4 linked regions of the Caenorhabditis elegans genome follow. The protein of the gene in region 3 interacts with the protein of the main gene of each other region in a pairwise test. Each region holds a gene or a part of one and is shown on either strand. Other genes may lie near its edges.

Region 1 (7,939 bases), on a different chromosome or scaffold from region 3:
AAATCAGCGAATCGAAGATCTGCAGTAGTTAGAGAAACTACTCGTTCCAATGCTGTGTCGTTGACAAATTCAATGTGATTATGGACAAGAGAACCGTCGTCTTCGATCTGAAATTACTCAAGTTTAGTTAGAAACCTGAAAATTGTTAATTTAAAATACAAACCTTCACAATAACATCAAATAAATCCTTTTTCATCGCAAATAAGGCATTCGTAGCTCCAAATATACAACTCTGAGTCTTCGGGACTAAATCCATTGATTGAATTGATAGATATGGATCAAATGATGATCCTTGTGTGAATAAGCTTATAGGAAATCCACACGAATCCTTTTCTTTCAATGGATCATCATGTGAAAGCTGAACACCAACCTCCTCTTCTATCACTATTTCTTCGCTTTTTCCTTCAGTTTTTGAATTTACATTTTTGAAATGACAACTCGTATTGACCCCGATTGTTGCGTAGAACAGACCTTCTTCCAAAAGCTCTGAAATTCAAAATTAAACGATTTTAAAATGTCTGTATATTCTTACTTGGAAACATTGAAACAATAGCCAGCATAGTTTCTCCTAATCGTAATCCAGTTGGTGCAATGAATAAAACTTTCCGCTCTAATAGGAATAATTTAAAAAGCAGTAGAGCTCGGTGACGGAATCGTATAAAAAGCTCTTGAATTGATATTTCTGAAACTGATATCGCTAATTAAAATGTGAACATTTGAAACTATTTTCATGTTTTATTTTAGTAAATTGATTCAATAACGTACCATGATGAGCTAGATTTGAAAAGTATTCTCCAGTAAGATTTTCGTCGAATATATCGCAAAGATTCGTATACATTTGAGCAAGAACATCAACTTTCGAAAAATCTTTTTGTTCAAAATATGCCTGAGTTATTACTTCCAATTTTGCTTTTAATGGACCAAAAAGTGGTATTCTTGAAAGAACGCATACAGCTTTTTGAACACTGGTCCTAGTCACATCTTCCGATTTATTTATTAATTCCTGCAAAGTCAAACAGTTTTTATCTGAAGAGTCATATAAAATCTCACTTTTGCATCGATTTGTCTGTAACACGAGATGCCAAATATCGATTTTCCAGGTTCTTCTCTAGATGGAAGCAAAAAGAATATTGTATCTTTTTGACAATTATGTACACCATCCGGCAACGCCAGTGATGGAAGAAGATGCCATTCATCGGGTAATCCCGATTCGCCCGTGCCATCGAGTTTCGGGTGCGAGTATTCTACCTACAAGATTTATTTTATTGATTTTTTACAAATTGAGTTGATGAACTTGAATTTAAATCTTCACTCCATATAATACAAAACTTAATAATTAAATGTATATGAAAAATACTGCAAAAATAGTAAAAAGTACCAAAAACGTTCTGCTTTTTGTGAAATGTTCGATTGACTGTAACATTTATTTCAAATTAACTGCAAAATATACGCGATTTTGTAGTTTATATTGCCATTTTATTACTTTCCTGCACATTTATGACCTTAATCGTTACGTTTTCGAGTTTATTCTTTTATGTATCATATTTTCCTGATTTTTCTGATAGTTTGCCATTTTTGTTACCTCACATCCTCGCTTGTGATGGAAACTAACGACGACCACATTCAGAATTGGATGCATCTTTCTCTGAACTGTAAGCTCTAATGTTTTCCCGAATTTTACCATCTTCAGATAAATTCTTATGGTTGCTATACCGGAAAACGGAATATACTCGTAAAAAAAGATTAATGTAGCAAAATTTATGGATTTTAATTGTTTTCAAAATGAAAAATTGAGATTTGCACGCTGATAATGTTTTCCGATAGGGATGGAAACGATTTTAGCGTTAACCAGTCATTAAAGTAGGTTTCCAACTCGCACCTCATGTACACCACAAAAATGAATAATTCAGGAAAAAATGGGCGATCAACGAGAAATTTACAGAAGAATTAAAGATATTAAAGGCATTTCGTAGTGGAACAAGTGAGGAGATTTTCAGGTTTCAATGAAAGGAAAGAACAAGGGACTTTTCAAAAGTCAACAGGAAAGGTACAGAATTGGATACTCACGAGATCCAGATTATCATAAATGAGCACGTTATTACGGCTCGTTATTGAGATTTGTTTCAGGTTTGATTCGCTGTGAGAATGAGAAAAGGCGGTTGAAAGAGACGAAGTAATGAGAGGATTGGGCACGAGTGCCGTGGAAAATATGAGAAAATGAAGGGAATTACAGTAGTATACTCGTGAAGGTAAATGAACATTTGAAATGGATTGAGCAGATCGAAGAGATGTTGTGGAGCAACATATTATGTGTTCACAAGCCATGGATTCTTGGCAATCGTCTCTGCTGAACGATCTCCATAATCGTAGAGAAGCTCTTCTCCTTGTGCGATTTGACGCCTGGCGACGAGAATCAGGTGATGCGACCCATCGATTTCCACCACCTGGAATGTTTAGTTTTGGAATTGTTATTTACATTTTTTTAATTTATCAAAGACTTTCTTAATAAATTTCAAATTTTGAAATGCTCACTTTCGTTTTGAGATTCGGCCTTAACACGGAATGATTGATGAGTCGTCCTTTCCATGGAGATTCTTTTGTCGCATCGATACACCATTTTTTATTGTTGTGCTCAAAAAAGTACATGTAGGATCCGATTTCCTCATCATTCGAATATTGTTCTTCTATCACTTTTGCTTCCGAGTACTCCATCATAACACCTAGAATACTTTTTAAAAACAATATTACAACAATTATCTGTGTTATCTACATACCTCTGTATTCGACAACAAAGTCTCCTTTTTCAAAGTTAACTTTCGTTCGAATTCCTCGCCCCTTCACAACATCTTTGTACACTTCAAGAAGTCGTTCATTAGTCCCCTTGAGTACGGTATCGCGAAGAGCATGTTTAGCTTCATCGCTAATTTGCTTGCTCGTCTTCCGATTACTTCGCCGCACTTGGAAGAATTCTGTGATTTTATGGTTTGAGACATCTTTCACCGACACTCCTTTTCTGAAAGAAAAACTATTTGGAAATTGAAGTTTTCAGCTTGGACAATTTCTGTGAATATGTTGTGAATTCAATTAGAAATATTGAAGTTTTTAAACGTTCTATTACAATCCCTCTTGTCACTAATCAATCATACCTGCTCCTTGTGTTTTTCGACGGTGTCATTCTTCCTGAAGATGAAGAGTGTGAAGCCAAAGACGATGGATTTTCGGAGTTCTCAATATCACTAGATGGTGACGCTGCTGCGGCACGATCCTTTCGCATTCTACTCGTTGCCAGCTTCTTCGCGGCAACTTTCATCCTTCGAGTGACACCGCTGAAAAAATAATAAATTTTGTAGGGTGAGGAGAATAGTAAAAATAGAGAAATTTATAAAGAAGCAAAAGAGGTGTCATAGAAATAATAGAAATATTCGCCCACAATTTATTTTTTTTGTTTTGAAATGGTTGGGTAAAAATATTATAATGTGTTGTTTCAAAAACCCAGATATTCAATATGATTTCATCGGTCCTGAATACTGTAATTGAAAATGGAAAAGCCATCTTGGATGTACCTGAAAAAGTAGTTGGGAAGAGGGTAACAGAGGAAATTGAAGCGGGCAGAGAGATGCGTAAAGCAGATTGAATGGGTTTTCGGAGGAATATTTTTTTTAGAAAGTGAAGGTTTCTATTGTGAAAAGGGTGGGCTTTCACCGATTCCGTTGAATTTCCAAATATCAAAAGACCGAGTAGAACATCATCATTAAGATATTTATCCACATTTCGTGAATAACCTCATTAGAAATCAAATTCAGTGGTTTTTGACGAGAGCTGAGCACAAAGAACAATGTCGTGCACACGCGACTAAATTCAAATGGTGTGCAGTCATATGGTTTTGGCGGGAAGTGCCGTGGAGCGTTATTGCACTCACGGTAGATGTCGGTGGTTGGTGTAAAAAATGGTGGATTGAAATTATGGAATTGAACTTTAAAATGTATATTTCCGTAATAATAGATACACTTATTGGGCTCGTAAAATTAAACAGAAAAGATACTCAAAGATTAAAATTTAGATAAATTTTGACGCCATGCGCATGACTAATGTTTCTATTTATATTTTAAATATTATACCAACTGGAATTTTAAATTTAGATGTCCTATTGATCTATTAATTTTGACTGAATTGAAAAAAAACAACTATGAGAAACAGAGCAACAAATCGATGGCAACATCGTGCACAAGAGTGTCATCGCATAAAAAATGCAGTTTGTCATTCTTCAATGCGACTACATGAGAGCCCGACGAAGAAGATATGCTGAAAAAAAGAACATCGAATCGGTGTCGAGAATCTGAATGACATAAGAAGATGCAGCCGCTGGTTTATTGATGCTGGCAGCTAATCGATTATGAATGGGTAATTAGAAAACGATCGGTATATTCTATTCCATTCCCTTCCTATTTATGCTGCGGTCGATAAAACGCTAAATCGATAAAAAGTTTAGTCGTTGTAAGATTGAGCAGCAAACAAAGAATGGTGCCGTCCACCCGTTCGTTTTCGACTGTTTTGTCAATTCAGCGGTCTACGTCACAACGCCACATAATTGTAGGCCAGAAAGGATGTCAGGGGAAATCGATACGAATTATCAGGAATAAGGAAGAAATATTGACCTTGAAAACCCAGAATTGTATTTTAATGGAATAAATAGTAAAAAAGAGGAAGAAATAGTGAAATCAGGGAGTGAAAAGAAAGGAGGCTGGTTATACGATCAAACAACAAACAGGAATGCACTATGGGGTGAGGGTGAGGAGAGTCGCAGAGAGAGAAACGGCTTGCGTCGAACACGCCAGTGGTCCAGCTTGCGCCTTTTCCGTTCCTTGCCCATAGTTTCTATTTCGATTTTTGCACGCTTTTTGCTTTAATGTTTTGAATGTGTATTTCTCTCTTATTGCTTTTAAGAAGCATTTAAAAGCAAAAATAATCAAATTTTAACTTTTTTCATCGTAGTGCGGAAAATTATGTTCAAAATTTGTCAATTTATTTAAAGATAATTCCTTACTCGGTCTTATTAACGCTTCAATCAAAACAATTAGAAACAGTTTTCAAAAATAAGATGAAAAAAGTCCAAAAAATTAAATAAATAAGAACCGACAAATCGATCGATTTTTTAAAATCACTGTGTTCCGTTTGAGACCCTTCGAAAATTCCATGTACCTTTAATTCAAGCAGTTCACGAAACTTTTTTTGGGTACTTAATTTACATTTTCTTTTATTAAAAGCCATTAGAATCTCGAAAGTTAATCTAATTAATCGCTTGAAAATGTCCTGAGAAAAACTCCGTTCTCTGCGTTCAAGTCTTTAATTGATTTACCGTAGTTACGCCAACTTTATGACAGTTTTGTATCATAACTAACCATTTTCCTATGATTCTAATAAAATATATTATTTTAGATGCCGCCGAAACGGAAATCAAATGGAAAAACGCCAGCGAACGGTAAAAAGGGCGCAAAGAAGGCTAGGAAAGAGTCAAGTTCAGAGCACGAACATAGTGCTTCAGAAGGTGAAGAAACTACTGGATTCGATAAGTCGTCACTTCAACGATGTGTGAATTTTGATTTCGAAGCTCTGATGAATGATCCGTCTTTCCAACATCCCGAATTTGTACATACAATGGACCCAGAAGCTTTAAATTTGGAGTTCTACGACAAAAATGGACTTGACAACCCGATACATTTCCGATGTGATCCAAAAAGAATAGGAATGACGTGAGTATTGATTTTTCCAATTAATTGTAAAAATAAATATTTTTACAGACTTCCCTCACCAGATTTCTCAGTGGATGATGTCCTCGAACTGGTAGGCGGAAATCGAATGATAGAAGTTGTTCAAGTCCAGAATCAAGGAAGTGTGAAAATGTCGTTACAGGAATTTATAAACTTCTACAAGTGAGTAATTACAAATTAGTATTAAACACCAATCAAACTTCATTTTCCAGAACGCCACAAGAAAAACGAGAAGTACTGTACAATGTTCTATCTCTAGAATTTTCCCAAACTCCCTTAGAAGATCTCGTAAAATCTCCAGAACTTGTTCGTCAAATCGACTGGGTTGGAAACCAGTGGCCAGATGCTCTGCGCCAGAGGTGGATCTCATTCAACGGAAGAGACAAAAAATTCTACAATCCGCATCATACTTTTCCAAAAGTTCAAAACTACTGCCTGATGAGCGTAGCGAACTGTTATACAGATTTTCACATTGATTTTAGTGGAACATCTGTGTGGTATCATGTACTGAAAGGTCGTAAAGTCTTTTGGTTGATTCCACCAACCGAAACCAACTTTTTTATTTATCAAGAATTTATTAAAACTGTCAACGATAATGCGTTCTTTGGAAAGTCGGTCGAAAAGTGCCACGTGGCTATCTTGGAGCCAGGAGACACGATGCTAATTCCAAGTGGATGGATTCATGCCGTATATACTCCAGATGATAGTCTCGTTTTTGGAGGCAATTTTCTTCACTCACAATCATGCAAAACACAATTAAGAGTTTATCAAGTTGAAAATAAGTTGAATGTGAGTTTTTACAGAAGACTTGTAAATAACAAATTTGAAACATTTCAGATCACTAGAAAATTTCGCTTACCGTACAATGAAGAACTTATTTTCTACGTTATAGCTGATTATGTAAAACAATGGACAGGAAGAGAATATGTGAGACCACTTCGAATCGAAGATGCAAAATATGACTATGTTGGAGACAAATGGAAAACCGCTGGTGGCCATCATAAGAAAATCGAATACTCAGATTACGAAACTGGAGTTGAATTGACAAACGATATGATTAAAGGAGACGAGGAATCCACAAAAGATGGTAGAGTATTTTTTATTTTTTAATGTCAAAAAAGAATGAATGACTAATTTAAAATGGTTTCTTTGATCTTTTTAATATTTTTCTCTCTTTTATATGATTTTAAAATCGAAATTTTCAGAAGTTAAAGTGATTGCAATGCACGCGGAGAATTCACTATTTGGTTATCCTATGGTCAGCAAAGCAACGTTTTCAGCTGACACGGGTCTTGAAGAAGAAGCTGACGAAGATGAAGTCAAGTATCAAGAAACTAAAGGTAAGGAGATTTAAACACGACAGTAATAAAATTGATGAATTTCAGAAGAAATGGATGCTCGACGCGATGCTGAAATCGATGAACTAGCTAATTCAAATTCATTAATTTTCTACAAGAACCGTGTAAGAATTTATCGAATTCAATGAAGTTTCCTCTCGAAATTTACATGTTTTTCAGACGCACGATTTTGTTCGAAATAAATGCGTGCCGGACCACAAACTTCCAATTGGACACGAGCCGCCAATCTACTTTAACGATGATGAGATTTCTAGGATATCCCCTCGACTTTTGGATGAACTTGAAACTCTTGGCACTTATATTCGTCGAAAAGCACGTGTCGAAGTGGCTGAAGGAATATGCCAGCCAGCGTCTCTCATTAACACATTCCAAACTGTTTTGAAAAAAAGACGTTCTGAATTGGTAAGTCAAAAAGACCGATAAACATTGTTGAAAGTAGTAGATAGTGAGAAGTGAAAGACTGTTGAAACGCCTGCGTCTCTATCGCCCTCTTCATCTCGTTCTGCATGCGTCTCTATGGCCTCAAACTGTCGTATTATTTTGCAGGCTATTGGCATAGTGAGAAAAACTTATCTGATCTAGGTTTTTTTAGGTATAATTGAAAAATTGTTTGATGAGCTGTTATTCTTTTCTGCCCTGAACAAACGTTTATTTCGATAATTTTTAGTTACACTAACACTAAGTTTATTTACATTTAGTGCTCTATTTTTGTGTAAAATTATTGTTAATGTCACTTGCCACATCTAATTGTCACATCCATTGTTACAGCCGGTAATTGTACTGCGAAACGCGCGATTCTAAAAGACGATCGAA
Region 2 (7,336 bases), on a different chromosome or scaffold from region 3:
CTACACCTATTTAGATACAATACTACTAGATCCTGCAAAACTAAAATACGCTAATATTTGAGGAATTTTTTAAAAATGTTTCCCATTAAGTAATGATACAATTTTATCAATTTCAATAACAAAAATCGGTACAAAAGTACCAAATAGCAAATGTTTCGCCTGATACGCGATAAACGTCTGAGCAGTATTCCAATTTTTCAACTTTTATCTTACCAATTTTGACTTGATATACCTAGTCTGTAAGAGTTTTCTTAATTTGTAAAGCAAAGCTATAATGCAATAAATATCAGCAACCTCAAATATAAGGCAAAAATGAAGGGGTGCAAAACTACTTTTCGAGAGATTTTTTTAGTTTTTCGTTCGTACATAAGTGAAATGTAGTAATCATAAATCAAATTAGTTTTTTTTTCCAAAAAAAAACACTCTCTAGTTATTTAGAAATCTATATTAGTACCTGTAAAAGTATCTGAAGACAGTATTGCAACCTTACTGGTAGTAGAAAAACGGCATATCAGTTTGACTCTGAAAAGAGAAAGATAAGCTTATGCGCAAGATTTATTAAATATACTTTCTGCAAGGAATCTTTGAATTCTGTTCGGTTATCGTTTTCTCGTTTTCTAATTTTTGTTCGTCATGTTGATACGTTCATTTCCTGCACAAGATCATCTTCGTTTTGTAAGATGGGAAATATTTTACTATTAACCGTTGCAATATTGCTGATTACTTATAAAAAAACGACAAAACTGAAAACCTTTATTTCAACTGAGTTTTTCATTTCACAAAATACATCACAATTTGTTGTCATTTATGTATTTCTGAAGAAGATTTCATTAGGTAGTTTTCTGAAATTTTGAATTATATTAAAGAAGTTTTGAAAAAGCTCACTACAAAATTCGTTTTTATGTTGTCACATTCTAAGTCTCTATAATCAGCAACCCCACAATTGATACTCCTCCAATTATGAAAAAATATGTTCAATTTGAGTATTTTTCTTGTTAGGATTAAAGTGAAAAATTCTTCCAATAATAAATCAGAAAGTATAAGTAAACTTAAGTAAACTTAATTTTCCAGAACATTTCAAACAGTGAGAACTAGAAAACTAGTCTCTCATTTGAAATCAAATTTCCAATTGTAAGTTTATGTTTTTAAAAGGCTGTAACATTAAAACGTACATTTTTATCAATAACATTTTTGAAATAATTAATTAAACACAAACACATTTTTTTTGTTTCAGTTTATGCTTGGTTTCCAAAATATTCCCCTAAAAAACAACGACCATAGTATGTCATCAAATCAGTTTCCCACTAGCCTTCTATGATATCAGAATGACCTGGCACCCCCATTGCATAACGGTCCCATTCAGTGTACAGACTAAGTAGTGATTAATAAGGAGTTGGTAGGTTATGATAACCGACACAGAATCAGAAACCCGTGTGTACGGCTGAATTGGTCGACATAAGCGGGTTTAGCCAGCGTTGCTCGTTTATCACTACCGTAACAAAATTACTCTGAACTGTAATCGATTGGCAACATATGAATGATTTTATCAATGAGAGGATTCAGTTTAAAATTGGTATCTCACGTGATCAATGAAATATGAAACGATTATTTTACAATCAAAATGTTGAAAAGTAACTATTCTTTCAGTTTAGAATATGGCATTGAAGTTTATAGAGAATCACGTAGAATTTTGTGTTCAAGCTTTCAAGTATTCCAATGATAAATAACATTTTGCTGTTCGGTTTACGAAATTATTTTAAATCATCACATCATTTTTTTAATAGACCATATTTTTCAACAACTCTCAGAACTACCAAATGTCAGTAGAAACAGTCTGAAAATCATTCTGAATACAGTCAATTTTCTCTTCAAATTCTTGCTATTACAGAAACATATTTTGTATAGGAATCTTTAAAATATACCTTTCATAGCTGCCGATGAGCACTTTGAACAAGAAAATTCATTCAAAAAATGACTAATTTTTTAATACGGTTTTCATAAACCTGTTTTTTTTTGAACATATCAACAAATGATTAGATAATTGAAAAAAATAATGTTTTCGTCGGTTGTAAGTTTCTTAACAACACACAAGTTTAAAACATATTTGTGCCAGTTTGTCTCTAATATGACTCGAAAATATGAAACTTTTCTAAAAAAACACTAAAATGTATAAAACCGTGTGATTTAACGTAATTAGAATTAGGAATAAATAATTAATCAATAGTGTCAGAATTGAGCTTAAAATTCAGTAAATGTGAAAATTGAGCGATTTTTTGTTTCTAGTCCATTCCGTATTATGAAAAACAAAACATACACCACAAAAACATTTTTTAATGCAATTTAACTTTAAAAAACATTTTCATGATTTTCAAAAAATGGGATTTTTGAAAACATTTCTGAAAATCTCAAAAAGCCCATAGCAGATTGCTAGTCGATTTTTCAACTTTCTTCTCCCTGTTGCTCTTTGTTTTGAAGATCAGAGTAGAATAGTAGTTACAGAAATGCTTTAGTCTTTTCAATCACATATCAATACTAGATTTCCGGCGAAAAATTCGAAAATGACCCTCAAACCAAGTGGTAGTCTGATCGCAATGAAAACTTCTGAATAAGACAAAAAAAACTGAATTTAAAAAAATCAGAACTTGTTTATTTCTAAGCATGGCAAAACAAATTTATCTTCTAAAAAATACAAATAAAAGCATTTCTCACACGACAAACCAAAGACATACTAATGTTGCGAAACATTACTACAACATGAAACTATTCAAATATATTTAATTGTCTGAAAATTTACTATGCTAAATCTTTAATGCCCAACAAAAAAACTTAGTTAAAATATTTTCAAGTTTGGTTTTCAAACCAATTTAGGAAATATGTGAGATAATTAGGGTTTTCAGAGATTTGGAATGAAATCTGTGTGCACAGTTTCATGAATTAATAGTCAATGCTGAAACTTCAATGAGCTAGCTCAAAAATTTGCACATTGTGAGCCCTTTGCTGTGGAGCTCATGCTGCCTTCTATCCTCTTCAAATCATTTCCGGTTTGAAAACAGACACCCATCTGCAATAAACGGTGCCGACCGTGGATATTGCACATATGATCCCTTGCTGCCCTCTTGTAAACTCTATACACCGTATTGCAACGTCATTCAGAAAATGTTTTATTTTTGGTACAATATTGTATCTGACACAATCACAAATCTAAAACTTTGACCCTATCAAGTATGAAGAGAGAAGGTAAATCGAAAAAAATATAGACATATGAAAAAAAAGAGTAGCATATATTGGAAAAAACAGATGATCCTCAAGTAATACTGGACAACATGAAAATGTTTAAGCAGGAATGACAAAATTGACCGTTTTCATAAGAAAGCCTAGATGCCAAATACTAATTCTCAGCAGAATTTAGCGATCAGGTGAGATTTGTGGGGATGTCATAGACGTCGAATTAAAGCTATCAGTGAGATTTTGAAGAATTAATGTTACTCGTGGATCCAGTTCAGGGAGTGGTGTTTCACTTTTGATTGGTACAACTGGAGCTCCAATACTGTGTCGGTTTGGATCATGTGTTGCACGGTGGACGAGGAGAGTTCTTGATTGGCAGAATCCTTTCCCACAGATTTCGCATTTGAATGGCCTGTCCTTTTGGTGGATATACTTGTGGTCTCTAAGATGATCCTGACGACGGAATGCTTTTCCACAAACATCACACGAGTATGGTCGCTCATCAGTATGTGTCCTTTCATGGATCAGGAGGTTGTAAGACTTGGTGAAGTGACGATCACAATATTTGCAGATGAATTCCTTCTTTGGTCGGGCTGCTCGGCCAGTAGTCCTTCCACGTCCAGGGATCATGAACCTAAAACTAAATAGTTGAGATGATACAGTATAAAATTTCTTATCATCATATCGTACATTATGATACAAGAGCTTACCATGGTTGATCGTAAGGAACAAATGGTCGAACGGCTGCAGTAGTGAGCGTCGGGGACATTTTTGGAGACACACTTTCTTCTTTGATCTTCTGTTCAGATTCAATTGAATCAGCCATGTGAGTGAAGTCAAATTTTGCTTTCTTGAGATCGGTGATCATTGGAATTTCTGGATTCATAGCAAGCAGCGCCATTTTCCTCTGCTGCAGAAAATTTTGGAGTTGGAGGTGTTGTTGTGCAAGCATCATTCGAAAAACTTGTTCATTTGATTGAGGAAAAATTGATGTTGGAACTTGTCGTTGCCACGGAAGCATTTTTGTGTGTGCGGGAAGGGCTAGTGTTGATTCCAGCTGAAAAGAAAACAATTATTTCAAATTGATTTGAGGTCGCAAAAATAGCGGAACGAGCAAATACGATTTGAAAAGAGGGAAAAATGATGATACCGTTGGGCAATGTAAGAGAGCAGAATTCAGAAGAAGGAGCGATAGTTATTGTTTGCTCCTTTTCAAGAGAAGTTGTCACTTTGTTAACGAGTATTATCGTCTTATGGGGTAATCTACTACAAACAAATCTAAAAGGAGGAGAGGACTGAACAGGCGGAGCACAATGTTGCGGTGGTGGTAGGGATGACTGTCAAGAAAGAAGGAGGATCACTTACAACTCAGTGGGATACTTTGACTCTATGGTGCCGCTTTTTTGGGAGGAGGGCGACTCACATTTTACACCACGCGTCATCTATGAATTTTTATAGACTCGCTAACACTTCTGAATTTTGGAAACGGCGATAACGAATGATTGGAAATGGAAGAGGGGCGAAATTGAAAGAAATTCTTTGTGCTGGTCGGTAAGTAGAAAGGTTTTGATGGCTTGTTGATGCTCGGGCGCATGATATTATCAAGTACACGGCGGCTATAAAAACGGTTGGCTTCCGTGCTTCGGTCCTACATCAAAGGTAGCCGACGTGCACGGAGGTGTTAGGGGAGTGTTTACCAAACAGTAGAGGTGTATGTGACTAGAAGCTATCTATCTCATTTGCAAGTTATGAAATTGAAGAAAATGAGAACCACATTTTCCATATTGACTCATAGAGAAAACCAGCAGAAAAGAGTCGAAAAGTGTAGAAAAAGTAGAAAAAAGTAGGGGAAAAATGAGAAAAAGGGAAAGCCTTTTCGGGTGAAGACTCGCGGTGATATGCAAACATTAGACATTTTCAGAAGGAAGAAAGTTAGCAGAAAAAAAGAAAAAAATCACAGTTAAATATGGGCCTCTTCTATTGACAATATGATGATACTGTGACTTTGACTCTCCCCGTTTTTCTCACTCTATTTCGGCGATGTGGAAAGAAGAATGGTGCCAAAAAAGAAACTTTGGTATCAATGGGGAAAAACGAAAGCGGACAGGGAGCAGAATATCATTCTCAACCTATTGTTATGATAAAATCGTATCGCGAGCCACCTATTTTCCCGCTTTTAAACATCTCAAAAATTTTTTGCTTCATGTATAATAGTTTAAAAACAAGAAATGATACAAATTATGATGCATGCTGGCCACATAAAAAACAGTAGAACCCTCTTCCGTACGGTTGCAAAACACAATTGAAAAATGTGGGTAAAACGGCGGGAAATTTGTCATTGAATCATATTAGCGGTTCAGACTAATACTAATACAAAATTTTATATGCACTTTTGTCGAAAATTTGGGCACTACAAACTGTATAAAAGTTTGATCTTAATTTTTCAGCTTGAAAATGATTTTTTTAACAGATTCTCCAATATGGAATTTCCAAAAGTGGTACTTTTCAATTTAGTTTTCACAGAATGTGCTCGAATGAGCACTGTCTAACTTAGCTAGCTAGCTACTGTGTAACGATAAAACTGTTGAGTTAAGACAGTTTTTGTTAGAGATCTTCAACAACTCACACAAATAGTTGAAAAATTTGCAGAACCAAGTTTTCAGAACATACAATATCGCCTATACTTGGTAGAATGGAGGAACTGAGTGGCTTCCCAGAAGCAGACGGAGGCGGCCACCACCTCGTGTTCAGCTCGTCTTCTCCTCCGACACGCCCACTGTCTTTGCTGCTGCTCTCTCGGCGGGCGCTGGTTGACTGACTACGGTAGGCCCTGTGCTGCCGTGCACCGCCTACTTTAGAAGTAGAAGTAGATCTTTGAAGATTTCATGACACCCTTTTCAAAGAAGTTTTAGACCTAACTATACTTTTAAAAAACCGTGAAACTGTCTGGAGCGATAAGAAACATAAAAAGCGCCTTTAGGTCTGGATAAAGTTTTTCTAGACACACGGGAACCGAATCTATAGAGAAATTCAAAATTTTTGATTAGGTAACTGTAGTACACCAAAAACATAAGTGACATTTTATAACTTGACTGATGACAACTTAGGACATCTTGCACTATTTAGATAACATTTGCACGACAGTTATACACCTTTCTAGCTACTCGTTAATGATGAGTTATGGAAGTAAACTGTCCTATTATAGTGAACAGAAATTTTGAAAATACACATTAAAATTTGACATAAAAGAGAATGACTTGGAATATGGAGTACCGCGCGGCAGAAAAACCGCCCACTTTTTTTTGAGCAAACCATTTTTCTTGGCTATTCTCCGTTTGAATTTGGTTTCAAAGACGACGACAACTTTTTATGAAACCTATCATGTTGGGGTGGTACGTGTTCCTTTTATGACTCTCACTACATAAACGTTCCCTTTTGGTGCAACATGCCGACTAATGATAATTGACTATTATCTTTGAAAACACTAGAGGTGAGTAGATGGGATGATAGTTTAATGATAAAAAAGACTTGGAAAAAATGAATCAAAATTCTATTTACCTGAAGATTATCCACCGTAGTGATGCCAAAGTCAATCACAAAATGAAATAAGGTGTGAGTCAATGATGATTTCCGGAAAAGGTGTGCGAATCGTGCAGAACAAGGTTCTTTCTGTGTGAAGAAGAAAAAAGGGTAATGATAACAAAAAGCGTAGGCTTCTATTTAGTAGGTAGTTTTAGGGGTACAATTAATCCGCTTACTGCAAGTTAGGGAGGAGCGATAATGCTGACAAGATGCAGTTATCATGAAGTTTTTGACGCCAATGTCTCGGTTTTGAAACAAAAAGGACATATCGGCTTATAGGTATGCGAAACTTTGTCCCAAGCAGTGGAATGATGGGAGGAATGTGGAAATTTTTGTAATTTCCAAGTAAATTTTTAAAAATTCTATTATGTAATTTCCCATGTCGGTATCCTCATAACCTCTGTGTTGAAGACTCCAACCGGTGTGAATTGTGCATTTCCATTAATCCCCTCCTTGAAGAAATGATACTCCCGGCTCTCATCCCAAACAGAACCCCCACTGTTTCAGACAAATAAACATCTTCCCTTTG
Region 3 (7,200 bases):
GATCTCCTGCAAATTTACAATTTCTGAAAAAAAACTTATTATACTCTATTCTAAGGCTGTCAAAACTTTCCTGGTTTTCTTTCATTATATTTTTCACATCCCCGTAATCTCAAATTATGCCACATTCACAATATCAACTTGTCATTGTTTCATTATGTCACCAAACTTTTTGAATGTTTATCTAATGCCAATATATTGAAAATGTATTATACTTATGATAAGCCAAATTCTAATAAATTGAAATTTTGTTTTCACATTTCAACATTAATTTGTTCATTCTTGCCACATACCAAACCTATTGACCTACACCTGAGTATTGTATTAGAGAATATTCAATGGTGCGCTCTTCAGAAAATTCAAAAAATTTAAACTTACGTCAAAGTTTTGTGGGATGTCCCATTCTGGAAAAAAAACACATAGGGAAAATTGAAAAAGTGGCGATAAACTTTTCCATACGGGGAAGTTCTAAAATTAAAGCTTTTCGATGTTTTCTTAAATGAAGCCGGTCAGCAGATTGTCGACATCATCCGGAAACATCCGATATTCAGTGAAGCTGGGACAGGATGTCATTTTTGAGGTTTTTTGAAAAATTAATAATCTTCCCTACTAAATCATTTGAAAATTTAATTTTTTCGGAAATTGCAATCATTTTAAAAATTAGTTTCTAAATTTCCCAAAAAAAGATAAATAAATAAAACCGAAAAAACTTTGATTTTCGCTGCGAGACCCGTAGATGGACAACAAATTATTTTGCCATTTTATGGGCGTGGCTTTCCCCTTTTTATAGAAAATTTTGGTTGAGAATGTAAAGGGGATGTGTTTTTTTGAAAATGTTCAAAAACAAATCTTTAGTTCTAACTTTAAATTGCGTAACTTTTTGTATTTAGAGCTCGGAAAAAATAATTAGAATGTCTCTATAATTTGCTAGTTGACAACTATGTAATTTTCTGAAAAAGTTGACAAAAATTGTTTGTTTGAATTTTTTTTTTTCATTTTTCACAATTTTATAGAATTCTCTTGTTTTTGAGTGTAATTTTTGAATACAAAATTGAAAAAAAATCTAAAAATGTTCTGTAGAAAGTTGAATTAACTTAAAGTTCAAGGAACCGAGTGGGCGTGGCCAAACGAGACTCCAAATTCCGCTGGGCAGTTTGTAGTGGGAGTTCAGTTTTAAACTATTTTTTCGAGCTTTTTAATTTGAAATTTTGATTTTTTTGGAAATTGCAATCATTTTAACAAAAATTAGTTTCATAATTTCCCAAAAAAAAAAGATAAATAAAAAACACCGAATAAACTTTGATTTTCGCTGCGAGACCCGTAGATGGACAAACAATTATTTGGCCATGTTATGGGCGTGAGTTTCCCCTTTTTATAGGAAATTTTGGTTGAGAATGTAAAGGGGATATTAGAATTGTGTTAATTTATATTATATATATATATATATATATCAGAATAAAAACAATTTGAAATAATTTTGAATCAACAGTCCGGATTTTTGAAAATCTCCTTTTCTAGTTTATGAAGTTAATTTTATTGCAGAAAAAAACAAGAAAAACTTTTTTTGAACGTGGACTTCAAAGATGTGATAACGTTGTGTTTAAAAAAGTTCGTCAACGACAAGATCAATATTTTCCGAAAATCCATAAATAATTTATTTTCAAATCTATTCTCGTCACGAGATGACGGAGGCTCCCGTTATTCAGCTAAGTATTGACTATAGAGTTCGTCGTTACAAGGTTTTCAAGAAACTTGAAGATGGTGAATTCGGAGCAGTGTATGCTGTGCGAGATGATGCTGGAGAGGAGCATGTTTTGAAGGCTCAGTTGAATACCAAGGAGATATATGTGAGTTAATACTGTCGAACCATTAAGCAGAAAATGTTATTTTTAGTCGCTGAGAATTGAGCTTTGTGTGATGACAAAGGTATCTGAGAAGTCGCCCAGCCACATGCCTACTCTCATTGGTATGTAGTACACTTTTGTAGGTAACCGTAACCCCATCTTTCAGACAAGGGACGCCATGACAACTTTAACTATATTGTCATGAAGCTTCTTGGGAAATCCCTGCAAGATGCTATAAAGACTGGGCCTGATGGTCATTTGACATTTGGGCTCTGCGATTGGGGCATCGTTTCAATGCTTGGAAGCATTGGAAGATTTGCATTGGAGTGGGTTCTTGGACAGAGATGTGAACCCTGGCAACTTCTATCTCGGAAGAGCAAGCCAAGGCGAGCTTCGCAACATTTTTGTTCTTAGATTCGGATGTTGCCGAAAGTATGTAGATCGCGAAAATTTGATGCTCGAGCCAAGAAAAACTGTGCCATTTCGTGGAAGCCCTCGATATGCACCGCTTGCATCACATAATACGGCGGAACATGGACTGAAGGACGATTTGGAAAGCTGGCTAGTTTAATCAATTTAAGAACTAGTCATTTATGTGATATATTCTGTAAAGATGCCAGAAGGCCAGATTGGGTTATCACTTAGAATTGAAAATAAGAATAATAGTTTTTATTTGAGAAAATGTGTTTTTCTAGGTTCTACATGCTCGTCGATTTCACCAATGCAGCTCTTCCCTGGAAAAATGTAAATGAGATTGGCGAGATTGGTGCGATGAAGAAGAATTCCCGCTTCCAACCGATCATGGGCCAATTCCTTGCTGGCTGCCCAGATGAATTTCGCTTGATTATGAAGTGAGTCTCTACCAAAGCTGATTTATTCGTAATTTTCCATTTCCAGCTATATCGACAGTCTTTCGTTCTTCAAGGAGCCCGATTATGAGATGATCTATACAACACTGCAAAAAGTGATGCTAGACAAGGACATTGAAGAGTTTCCGTATGACTGGGAGATGGAATTTGGTGTGGACTAATGGAACTTTGATTATACATACTTGTCTTGCTTGTATTCTGGCTAACAAATTTTACCGAATAAACATTCATTTTCAAACAGAATAATTTAGACAAGACTATCACGTGAGTAGTAAAAAATCTTCAAAAATAGATTGCGACGCGATGGGATGAAAAAGTTCGGGAATATTGGCCATAGAAAGATAAAAAAATGAATCAAAAACGCAATATAGACAATGAAGATTTTCGAAAAATTGCTCAGAAACTAATTGTAAGATCTGGAAGAACTTGATAGACTAGTTACTAATATCGACGGTTTCTTCATTTTCTTCCTCGTCACTAGTTTCTGGTGTTAAGATTTGAAGTGATGGAAGAATGAATCGGAGGGGAGCAGAAAATATTGATGGAACGGTGTTGTAGTTTGACAAGACATTGAACTGAGTAGTTGGGATCATTGGAATACATGGAAATGTGAGCAATGGAGAAGTAGATGTTGGGGATTCTTGAACTTCTTGAAACGTCAATCTTGGGAAGAGATCCTTCACTTCCATTCGTGTTTTTGGCTTTTCATTCTCTTTGTTCTCACAAGTAGCAGTTGATTTTCCAGCTAAAAGAGGAAGTATTTGGGGAATTGTTTCTGGATACAGAAGATCGGAATTGTGTTTAATGTAATCAATGATGATTTCTAGAATTGTGATCCGTTCAAGTTTTAATCTGAAAATAATTTTTTGAATTTTTATTAGCCATAATGAAACTCTTACCGTTGCTCGTAACTTCCCATTTGTTTGTTCAAAATGAAGAATTTCAATTCAGCATAACAGTCATCTTGTTTCTTTCTTCGAATCTTTTCACGTTCAGTCTTCACTTTTCTTCTTTCGGATTCAGTATCAAACTTCCGTCTTGTAGATTCGGAGAGGTCATTCGATGAGAAATTAGATTCCAGATTAACTCCAGTCACAAGTTTCACAATTCGGAAGAGAACTACTTCTTGTCTAAAAAATGAATTAGTTTAATAACTATTTTAAGCTAACAGAGTATTTAAACTTACGATATATGTTCTTCTTCTGATTTTTGAACAATCGTCTTGCATTCGTTAATCAACTCGTTTGTAATATTTCTTCTTTTCCGTTCAGATCCTGATTTTGGAGTTTGATTGTATGGGACGGAACGATAATCGCTCATTGAAGATGGGATAACTTTTGGCATCTGAAATTTGATAAGTTTTAATCTTTTTAAAATCAAGAAGAAATCTAGAATTTATAAAATTTCAAGATGAGCCGTTAAATAAAAGGAATAATTGTGACAAAACAGAAAAATGAGACCAAGAAAGCAGCACAAATTGATTTAGTTTAGTGAGATAACTCGTGCTGTTTTTCTAGAAGTATACAGTTCACTGAATGCTTTAAAAGTAATTGATCAAAATCAGTACACTTTCCTGATGTTACAATTATCAAAAAGTATACTAAACCAGCAGACCAGTGATCCACCAAGAAAGTAAATGAACAATGAATAAATGGTTACCTTTTATAGTTCCATTATTGTTCAGAGGGTGGAGCTTTGTATCAAGCGTTTGGAGCCATGGGAATTATTCTGAAATCTCTATTTTTACAGTCCCCATCATGGGTTCCCATGGTTCATCAGTGAGGTTCTCATGAGAACGAGGCTGGACATCTCCAGTTTTGTCTTGGGACCATGCGAAACTAGACGACTGGATATCGATTGGGTACTGCCTGGGAAATTCCGGCTGAGACTGTGAATTAGGATATTGGCACTGTGTTAATTTATTCTATAAGTTTATAGTAGTATCAACTGTACCGGATGAACAACATTTTAAACAGAAATATCTCGAAAAGAAATAAAATAGGAGAAAACAACTGAAATTATTTTGCCAGTAATTCTAAACAAGATTGATTTGCAACAGTTTCTTCGAACATAATTTTTATATAAGAAGATATCTATTTTGAATTGACAGTGGTCAACAGAATAAATATGGAGAACAATCATATTGGAAGAGCTGGAATGCAAAAGTGAGAGGAAATTGATTTGAGCTCTTCGATTATGGACGCAAAAATGGCATGGCGTGACTGAAACGACATAAGTTTGAAAGTTGATAGGACGATTTATAATATAAATTGTGTTCCCTGTTTGCTCCAATGATATGAATTTCGGCAACAGTATCACTACAGTATCACGACAGTAGCCTTATAATAACCCGCCAATAAATTCATTTGATCTTCGCTCATGATCTCAGAAACGATTTTTAGTTTTATTACAATTATCATACAGTATCATGATAACAACGGAGATTGCCCGTGGAATAGTTCAGCTACTGGAATATTGGCTACAGTAATCCTATGGCAGTAGCTATGACCTTAAATATACTCACATCTGTCTCCCAAATTACAATTTTTTATTTTTTATTCTTTAATATATTAAGCCATAAATTTCATCGTACAACGACGGAAGACAATTTTTGGAAACTTGCCGAGTCAAAATTATCATGACTCACCTTGGAGATCGTGGAGGAAGCCAGATCATTTGTGGCAATCTCTTCCTGAAGGCGGGTTTCCATAATTCTCACAGATGTCTTGAAACGGTCCTAGGCATTCTAGAAATGTAATGTGATGACGAATAAATGTATATTTCTAACCTTCCGGATTATCTCCAAAAGAGCCTTTGCTCGGTTATATGTGGCACGGTCGACGCCATTGGCGGTCTGAATATAAAAGATGAGTTGAATTTCAGAACGAGATTGAAATACTCACCTTTTTCATTTCACTTCTTGCCTCTTTTTGAAGCTTTCTGCGGTCCATTTTGTAGCAGATGTGAAGGTAAGATCTGAAACTATGAGCAATAAATTAATAGCGAAGTCAAGTCAAGTGATTGAATGTAATTGGTGAGGAAATTAGTATTCAATTTCAATCAAAATCACTGAAACTGATATTTCCGTTTTCAGTGTTCCAAAGTGTACCAATTGCCAACTAAAAGGTTATGTGAACAAACTTTCAAATCAATAAGCCTCCTCAGCTTCAACAAAAAGGGACAAATTTTATCAAAAACTATTAATAACGAAAAATCCCTGACTCATGGTGCATGGCTCTTTCTCAATTCTGATTTTTTGTTGTCTCCCCCCGTTGCAACGATGATAATTTCTGTCTTATTTCTGTATACAGGGTTGCCTTTGGCCTGAATGTTTTTGTCCTTTGTTTTAGGGAAATGAGTTCTGAAACTTTTTTTGTTGGTAATACTTCCAATACTTTGTTAGGTTCAAAAAGTGGTTCTAAAAATTTTGTTTTACGCCATCCATTATTTTTAAAATAACCTGAACTCGTTTTGGTTACTCTGAAGTAACTTAAAAATCGCAATTGTTAATAGAGATAACAAGATCTATAAAAATCGCAGCTTTAGTCTGATTGATCCGACCACAAGGGGCTTCCACGAAAATTGATAAACCATTTCGACAAAAAAATGAGTCATGTTTTGACTGTTACTGACCAACAATTATCGCTACTATTTCTCTTAAAAACAATTGAAAATCATTTAAAAAAAAACAGTTCATTTGTCTCTTTCTGTTTTGCATTTACGTTTTCCAACATTAAATTGACGACATCTGTAATACTCATAAAAATCGTCAATGCACACATTTTTCTCTCAGTTTTTCCTTTTAGCTACAGGACTTTTCGTTTTTTTTTCATTCACTAATTGAACAAGAGAATCCCTCTTGAAGGGATGACTTTGATAATCAATTCGTACACTCAGACAGGTGCGAGTCACGGCTAACCGACTCAAAATCACTGCTAATTAGCTTTTTGACCAGGGATAGAGTCAACCTGGCTAGCTCTGGTTTTTTGCTAATTAGCAATGGTTTGCTAATTAGCCATGGTTTTAAGCTAATTAGTTCTGGTTTTTTGGCGTTTTGCTAATTAGCAGTGATTTTGAGTCGGTTAGCCGTGACTCGCACCTGTCTGAGCATGTTTGGTTTAAAAAAATATTTAAATTTGTTTAGAAAATGTTTTCAATATTTTTTTCAGCAGAATTTTACAGATTTACAATCTTCTTTCATACTCAGATGCAACAAATCTCGAGTTTGACGTCAGGTAAAACTTTCAATTTCTTCTCTGACACTATATGTAAGTTAGTTTTCCATTTATTTCTTGAAGTTTTTCTATTTAAAAAAACTAGCAAACTTTTGTTTTTCAACTTCCGTCGTGTTTGAGCCATTTGTTAAATAATTAATAACAAATTTTTCACCCAATTTTTCCTCTAATAATAATATTGTTTTACTTTGACAAACGGTGGTATTCTTTTGAGTATATCAATAATGCATATCCTGATAAAGTATATAATAAATT
Region 4 (7,837 bases), on a different chromosome or scaffold from region 3:
ATTTTTAAGGATAAAAAATCATAGCAGCTTCCATTCTACAGTTCATTGTTTCAATTTTGTCCCCGGAAGAGCACAAGTGTCGTTCATTAGTAAGCTTAAGATAATTGGTAATTGGTAGTGTGTTAGGCTAGTGGTATGTTTGTGTAAGCACGCAAGAAGTGTGCATTCTTCCGGTTCAGTGACAACTAACAACTAACACGCCTAATTCCATGTAACACGCTCCTCTTCTATTATGTTTCCCCTTTTCGTCGCCCACAAAACCAGGCTCATTTAGTGGAAATCTCGCATTTGAGAAACTCCAGGCCCTCATCCTGATCATCGTTCTCGTCTTTAGACAAATTGGTCGTGTACATACACACACACACACACACACACACACACACACCCACATATACACATTGAAACCCACTTGACATCTAATTCGAGAATAGACAGGGGAGAAAGGAGACGAGTACGGTAATCGTCTACCGCCAATAAATAGGATTTTGAAGGAACGGTGTCATTAAAGCAATTGGACACCACACCGTGAACGGTAGTGGGGTGAATTGTGAATGAACACATCCAAAAACACAGTTTGCAACCATTCCGATGAATTTGGTTCCGTCGATGGGGTCATAAAAATTATAACCTCATAATTAGTATTATTTTAACAACCTCTGGATTAGGTAGAATAAGATAATCTAATGATTGTTTTACAATCACTTGATCTTCTTCCCATATTTTATGCCACAACGGAGACAATCATGATGTTCTGCGCACCGATCCGTGATCTGATGATGTGGCTCGTCAACCACCCCTAATGTATCATTGACTGCTGCTCTCAATAAAAAGATTACAAGGGAATTAGCTCAGGGGGCTGGTGGCAATTGATTCAATTTACACTCAGCACACACACACACACTGACAAATACACGTATACACCTGTCGTCTCCTTTGTCCGATGAGCTCCCGGATGAATAAAAAATGAAGATGATGCTAATTTGGGAGAAATGTGTATGATATGGGGGAAGGCAAAAGTTTGACACCTTTAATCGGGATCATTGAACAGTTGATCACACTTGCATATAGGACAAATTACAAAATTGTCTAGTTCTTGATTTTCAGATTTTCGAGTATTTTACCGTATTTCTTCTATTTTGCATCACGATTCTGTGTTTCGGCTGCTCACCAACTGGCAGAATATGTTTTTTACGTATCTGATGATTTCCAAAGGAACTAGGATAATACCTTTCAAGGTAAAGTAGTGGGATCCTAAATTGATCAGCGATAAAATTTTGAAATTTTTTTTTTTTTTTAATTTTTGAAAATTTTTTTTGGCTTTTTTAATTGAATTCTTGCGGAGTCACACATTTTTTTCTAACTCTGCAATTTTACTGTGATTTCAATCAATCATTCTGTCACTATCACACAAATTTTTCTAGATATAAATTCTCTGAAAAAGAACAATGGCTAGAAGTGATGCACACTTTCAAAACCGCATTTTAATTTCAAAGCGGATTTTTCCTAGGAAGACACCGTATGCTTGGAATAAGTTATAGTGGAAAGACGCCGGGTAAAGTTCTCGGGACAAGTTGCGGTATTTATGAGAGGAAATTGGAAACTAATTAGGACAGAGATGAGTAGTTTCAGATGAATAGCTGATTTTATTGCCATTTCTATAGTTTATTTCTTTTTTAGATGAACTTTTTCCCCGATGAATTCTTCCCAATTTCCATTCAATAACATTACATGAGTTTACGAGTTCATGTCAAATGGTGAATAAGTTGAGTTACATGAGTTTACAGGAAATGTTTGACATTCCAATACGAAGACCAGTTCAATAAATCATTCTCGCAACGACCCCTGAAACGATGACATGATTGAACAATAATTCGTTAACAAGTCGACTCAATTGCAATAATACACGGCTGCGGTCTCCTTCGACAATTGTCATCTTGCTAAACAATTGAACAAGACGAATGAAAAGAAGGTTGAGGTTTTGACAAACTGTACAGGACGCGTCTCTAACCTCCTTTCTCAAATTGGGTGGCATCATTGTTCGAAAAAGGTGTCGCTATAATTGACGAATTATTCGACTCCTAGGCAGACGATCTTCAACTGTAAAGGTGTTACGGAAAATCTACTCAGCTATGAAAGTTGGAAGGCCTCCACTTTGACGAGTAACGTAGAGTGTTTGAGGTGGAGAGGAAGCGGGACGACTTTTTGCTTCCCCCCAAAATTGTCTATTAATGAGAAGGCTAATTGACGCACTTGGTGTGAGGAAATCGCTACCGTAATTTTGTCATTTGGAATGATTCGCAATGTTCTGTTACTTGAGCGAAAACACTCCAGCGTCCGTTGACTGTATTGCATTTTATTATTTTATAATAACCAAGACATTGAAAGTGAAACATTACAGAAGAAATTAAGAGATCGGATTTTGAGAATGAGGGCAAAATTAAAGTGGCTCAGCAGGAAAAATAGAAGAGAAAAACAATAGAAATTGAGAATTTGACATTTTGCGTGATGAAAACCGGATAAATACTCTAAGCGAAAAAAAAACAATCTTCAAGGTGGAAAGGTATTATTCATCCTCATCTGATTCTTTTTTAGAAACAGATGCATTTTTTACAGAATCAGGAGATACTGATGGTGATTCTTTTGGGGAACTGATATCATCTTTTACGTTTTGCGATGCTAGAAATTGCAGTAGAGAATTTTGAGAGTTGCTAGCAGGAATCATTGAAGAAGTTGGGACGACTAATGAATTGAATACAGGGCGATTATTAGAAGCTCCAAACATTGAAGTGTTCTGTGATAAGTAGTTTGCCCAATATGGATTTGTTCTTAGAAGTTGTTGAACGGCGGCCATATTTCCAGCATCGTGAAGAAGATCCATACCAACAGAGGCTTGTCGTTTCCATTTGGTTCTGAAAGTACCGTGAACATTTTTTTTCATTTCAAGCACTTTTTTTCTCAAATTTTTTGCGCCTCCCAGGGTAGCAGCTCCAATCTCAAAAATTGGATAATGACAGTGGAGCCGTTTCCCGTGGGGTGGTTGAAAGGAGTGGGGGAGGGCGCGGAAAAAAGATGACACTACTAAATAAAATTGGTGGGCGCACGCAAAGAAATTGAGGAGGGGTGAGAGCTTTGATTAAGATAAATTTCGATGGGGGTGAAGCTTCTCGCTAATGCACTACAATTAACACAAAGTGGCGTGTTTAGACTCAATTCTCGCCCAACTGCTGGCGCAAAGAGCCACACGTTGTTGTTTTTCGAGAAAAGAAAAAAAGTTTGCCTAATTAAGGAATATAGCCGACCAACCTTCTATTTTGATACCATGTCTTTACTTGAGTATCTGTTAGCCCCATTCGATGAGCCAGCTCCATCCTATCTTGAACAGACAAGTACTTCTGCTTCTCAAAGGTGTTTTCTAGCTCTTGAAGTTGTTTGTCGGTGAAGATAGTTCTCGCCTTCCGAGCCTTTTTTGATCCCACGCATGTCGGACTCTCGTTCACAGATCTTTCGGTATTCGGGCTCCCAATTCTAGGGGATGATGGCGATTCCGAGGAATTAATGGAGGTAGGAGATGGATCTACAATAACAAATAAATAAAGAAAACTGTTTGTATAGGTAAGAGGAGAACAAAGGATCATAATTGGTTGACCTATTACTATTACAGATTACCGTCCATGTGACTACTGGAGCGTTAATCCGTTAAATATCATTTTTCAGGTTAGTTGTACATTCAACATTCTCATGGAAGTCTATGTAGATTAAAGTGTTAGAGATGGTTGAACGAACATACAATAAATGCAATAACTTTAGGAAAATGGTGGCAAAATGGATTACCTGGTTCGTTGGTTGAGTGTGAAGTTGGATCAAGCAGATCAGAAATGCGAAAAGAGCTGTTTAAGTTTATCTTCGCGCCACCGGAAGAACTCTGAGCAGCAAGTTGGTTGGTGGGGTCTAGAAAGAATGCAGGAATCAGAAACTGACGGAGATCCAACATTGACATTGTTATGATAACCTTATCAGATGATGTAACAATACAATAAGTTTTGTAATAGTCAAATTGAATGACTTTTAGACAGTAGTTTAGTGTGAATGAGTGGGTTGGAAGGGTCCTGTTGCCTGCAGTCACTAAACGTCGCAAACTCGTTGATTGGTCTAGTCACGCCCATGCGAAGTGGAAGGCGGGGCGTGTCGAAGAAGGGAATAGAATGGATGACACCACGCGGTTTTGTATTGAGAAGTGTGGTCCGTGCAATCCACCTTTTTGAAGCCAATCAAGTGTGATAATGGGGGACGATGAAGCTGAAAACGAGCAGCTTCGAGGAAAAGACGAAAAGCAAAAGTTTCGGAAATGAGGCATTCAGGTGAGAAGAAAACAATTCAGACAAATCCCGAAACTGCCGAATGCAAACTATGCACACTAGGCTTTTCCTAAAAGCAGAGTAACAACGCAATGCAACATGATCCAAACGAGCAATGATTTTCAGATAAAAAAGCACTGAATAGAATTCAATATAACTAGCTATGCTAGTGTAAAACCGCAGAAAAAATCAAAAATAGCATGCTGCTTCGGCGTGCAAAAACTAGCGACTAAAGCTAAAAATGAGTTTCAGCCCGAATGATGTTTCAGCTTTCTGACTAAAAGATGATGAGGTCTAATAGGTACATTGTGTGTGTTTTAATATTTGATACATCACTGATTTGAAATCAGCACAATGGAAAACACTATCTGAAAAGTTCAGTAACAGTGACTACTTTTGATAGTTCATTTTGCATTTAGATTTTCCTGGCTGTGATCTTAAACTTGCTTCACACGTACAGTTCAGATTAACTGGTAACATCTTTTGGTACTTGTGTAGTATACCTAACACAAAAACATTTTCCAGTACATTTTCCATGCATTTCTTTTGAAACATAATAATTTATTCAAACCATGAAATAGATTTGCATTTTTAGACTTTGAAATACTTTAACCTTAAGCCTATTATCGGCAAAAAGGGGTTTAATATTTTTGGACCAGGTGTACTAAACTGGTACCTAATTTTTTTAATCCCAGATCCGCAAAAATCAGATTCTCAAAACACTAAAAATTATAATAAAATGCTAAGTAAGTAAATTTTTTATTTATTTTGAGCTTTATAGGAACTAAAAAAATGTAAACGTTTTCCGAGCTTTTAATTTCTTGAGCATTTATACTTAATTAGAGTTTAAATTTGTATTTTTCGGTAGCCGAGTTTGCAATAGTCTGGGTTCCTCTTTTATAGACTATTATGAGCAAAAAAACTTTGTTTTACATATTGAAATATTTTAAAAATTATAAACTAATATTTATAGTTGTAAAAAATTTTCAGACCCTTTATGTTTGCTTGAAAATTTGTTCAAAAAGTTTTCAATAAAATATCATGTTGAAACATCGTTATCATTCTGAAAAATATATTTGCAAAGTGAACAATGTCAACAATCGTTATATTTTTCACAACCGATTCATGAACAACGCGAATCTATTGTTTGTTATCAACGTCTAACAACTTACTAATACTTAATTTCCTGCCGTATTACCTCTCTAGTTTTCCGGCTGTTTATGTTTGGCGGCCACCTCCGTAAAACGTTAACTTAAACGTACAAATCTAATTTTATGCTGTCCCATCGTTTTCCCTCTTTCCCACTAACTAATAAGCAATATTTCCGGTCACAAACGGTCGATGAGCAACAATAATATCTGCATTCTCTTTGACGGACAGCTGTAGGCCCATTACCGGGGTTTTATGAGGAAAAGAGGAACCGCTATATGGTGAACTGTTATTAAGGGTACCGAACACAGTCATCTGGAAAATTTACTAATCGAATACACTACGGGTTTTCATTTTTGTGTTGGAATGACTAATGGGTCAAAAAAAATTATCAAAAATGTAAACTACAGAGCTTTTTTTCAATTCTAAAAAAATGTATTGTAACAACAACTCAAGATAAGAGTGAGTTCCAGTAGTAAAATCATCAATTGAACATGTTCCTGAATTTTGACTTCATGTCGGAAGACTTTTAAATTGAAGTGCGCGAAATTGGTAGGAGTCTGCGCTTGTTTGCCGCCCGCTCACCAAAATACAAGGACAACCCATATACCGGGAGGAATTTGTCGCCTCGCCCGGATATTCGACAGACGTGACAAACGACTGCTTTTCAAACTGCCAATTTCGATGTCACACCTGCAGTTTTATAATTCCTTCGGGTGGTCTCTAATCTTGTGCAGCGCCTAATAAGAACATTTTCTTTAACAAGAAATTAAATCGTTTTGAATGGAGTTATACTTGCTCTGTTAACAGGAAATTTTCAGTTCGGCATTATTTCAGTGATATAATAAATCCACAGAAAACAACGTTTAGAAAGGTTGAATATGAGTAGCCTGATCATGATTTCAGGTGCCCGTTTCAATTTCAAAAATATTTCTGTTTTCAACTACTGTTTAATGGTCATCTTTTAATAAGATTTTTCAAAATTTTTTCAATATTTCAAATCTTCGGCAACTCGACAGCTGTTAAAAAAATGAGTAAACTCTGATTTTTACAGAAGTACATGTTTTTGGCAATGAAACACAATTTTCAAAAAAATCTCCCAACATATTACATCTGAATATTTTTAACTGTCACTCTGAAAATTGGAAATTTTATCAATAACCAGCCGATAACCGCGCCTCCGGCGCGGCCAACGACTGGCGGAGTTTAAAATGTATAACAAATAGATGTCCTTTTAATCATTCAAAAATGCCTCATTAAAAAAAGTTGAAACTTCATCGATTAAATCGCATTTTCTCCTTCCATGGTATACGATTCAGAAAATTCAAAGAGACAGTTAGAATGTTCTGATTTTTCTACTAACACATTATCATTATCAGGCTTTCGAAAAAATTCCACAGAGTTACAGTTTTTTTAATAAGTTAATAACTTTCCTTAACTGGAGAAGTCTGAATAATTAACTACTAAGTTCTTTGAATATAGATGTAACGAAACAAATAAAAACTCCTACAGTTATAGGAGGTTGTAGAGCATTTCAGAACTTTTTTGAATTTTCCAGATGATTCTAGAACAGTCTAGAATTTTCTTGAAACTTCCAGAAGGTGCTGAAACAAAAAATTTGATTCCAGAACAAAAATTTGGATTTCCCGCCAAATGTTTTCCTCAGAAAATTTGAATTTCCCGCCAAAATCTTTTTTCTCAGAAAATCTGAATTTCCCGCAAAAATTTTTTTTCCTAGAAAATTTGAATTCCCGCCAAAATTTTTCTCAGAAAATTTGAATTCCCGCCAAAATTTTTCAAAGAAAATTTGAATTACCGCCAAAATTTCTTTTCTCATAAATTTTGAAGTTCCCGCCCATATTTTTAAGGGTCTCACCACGATGGGTCTCGCCAGTTCCAGGTGGTACTTAAGCTAACAAAAAGTTTCTCAGAAAATTTGAATTTCCAGTCAAAAATTTTTTTCTCAGAAAATTTGAATTTCCCGGCAAAATGTTTTTCACTGAAAATTTGAAATTCCCGCCAAAATGTTTTTCACTGAAAATTTGAATTTCCCGCCAAAATTTTTTTCACTGAAAATTTGAAATTCCCGCCAAAAATTTTTTCACTGAAAATTTGAATTTCCCGCCAAAAATTTTTTCACTGAAAATTTGAATTTCCCGCCAAAATTTTTCTCACAGAAAATTCGAATTTCCCGCCAAAATGTTTTTCACTGAAAATTTGAATTTCCAGTCAAAAATTTTTTTCTCAGAAAATTTGAATTTCCCGGCAAAATGTTTTTCACTGAAAATTTGAATTTCCAGTCAAAAATTTTTTTCTCAGAAAATTTGAATTTC

The links.
Region 1: the proteins of hlh-27 (region 3) and set-1 interact in a two-hybrid assay, tested with the Caenorhabditis elegans proteins (one large-scale study listed by BioGRID).
Region 2: the proteins of hlh-27 (region 3) and odd-2 interact in a two-hybrid assay, tested with the Caenorhabditis elegans proteins (one large-scale study listed by BioGRID).
Region 4: the proteins of hlh-27 (region 3) and ceh-31 interact in a two-hybrid assay, tested with the Caenorhabditis elegans proteins (one large-scale study listed by BioGRID).

What each region holds. Positions count from the first base shown.
Region 1 is NC_003281.10:6,449,047-6,456,985, forward strand, and holds set-1 (Histone-lysine N-methyltransferase set-1), read right to left. Parts: upstream 3,327-7,939; 5' UTR 3,311-3,326; coding exon 3,147-3,310; intron 3,014-3,146; coding exon 2,775-3,013; intron 2,729-2,774; exon of another isoform or gene 2,721-2,728; coding exon 2,533-2,720; intron 2,522-2,532; exon of another isoform or gene 2,445-2,521; coding exon 2,307-2,444; 3' UTR 1,746-2,306; downstream 1-1,745. Other genes in the region: T26A5.6 (UDENN domain-containing protein), read right to left, coding at 1-107, 164-486, 533-688, 766-1,003, 1,051-1,248, 1,583-1,639; jhdm-1 (JmjC domain-containing histone demethylation protein 1), read left to right, coding at 5,437-5,750, 5,799-5,930, 5,981-6,557, 6,606-6,855, 6,974-7,108, 7,154-7,230, 7,286-7,528. UniProt on the Caenorhabditis elegans protein: Histone methyltransferase that specifically monomethylates 'Lys-20' of histone H4 (H4K20me1). H4K20me1 is enriched on hermaphrodite X chromosomes and during mitosis. Involved in dosage compensation by repression of X-linked gene expression in hermaphrodites.
Region 2 is NC_003284.9:6,156,240-6,163,575, forward strand, and holds odd-2 (Protein odd-skipped-related 2), read right to left. Parts: upstream 4,289-7,336; 5' UTR 4,247-4,288; coding exon 3,936-4,246; intron 3,860-3,935; coding exon 3,406-3,859; 3' UTR 3,138-3,405; downstream 1-3,137. UniProt on the Caenorhabditis elegans protein: May function as transcription regulator. Required for morphogenesis and function of the digestive tract.
Region 3 is NC_003280.10:5,536,156-5,543,355, forward strand, and holds hlh-27 (BHLH domain-containing protein), read right to left. Parts: upstream 4,059-7,200; 5' UTR 4,055-4,058; coding exon 3,897-4,054; intron 3,841-3,896; coding exon 3,610-3,840; intron 3,563-3,609; coding exon 3,145-3,562; 3' UTR 2,920-3,144; downstream 1-2,919. Other genes in the region: C17C3.11 (Protein kinase domain-containing protein), read left to right, coding at 1,680-1,844, 1,891-1,963, 2,008-2,255; C17C3.24 (uncharacterized protein), read right to left, coding at 4,849-4,932, 5,358-5,420.
Region 4 is NC_003284.9:3,066,311-3,074,147, forward strand, and holds ceh-31 (Homeobox protein ceh-31), read right to left. Parts: upstream 4,113-7,837; 5' UTR 3,998-4,112; coding exon 3,832-3,997; intron 3,575-3,831; coding exon 3,304-3,574; intron 3,247-3,303; exon of another isoform or gene 2,964-3,246; intron 2,910-2,963; coding exon 2,564-2,909; 3' UTR 2,338-2,563; downstream 1-2,337.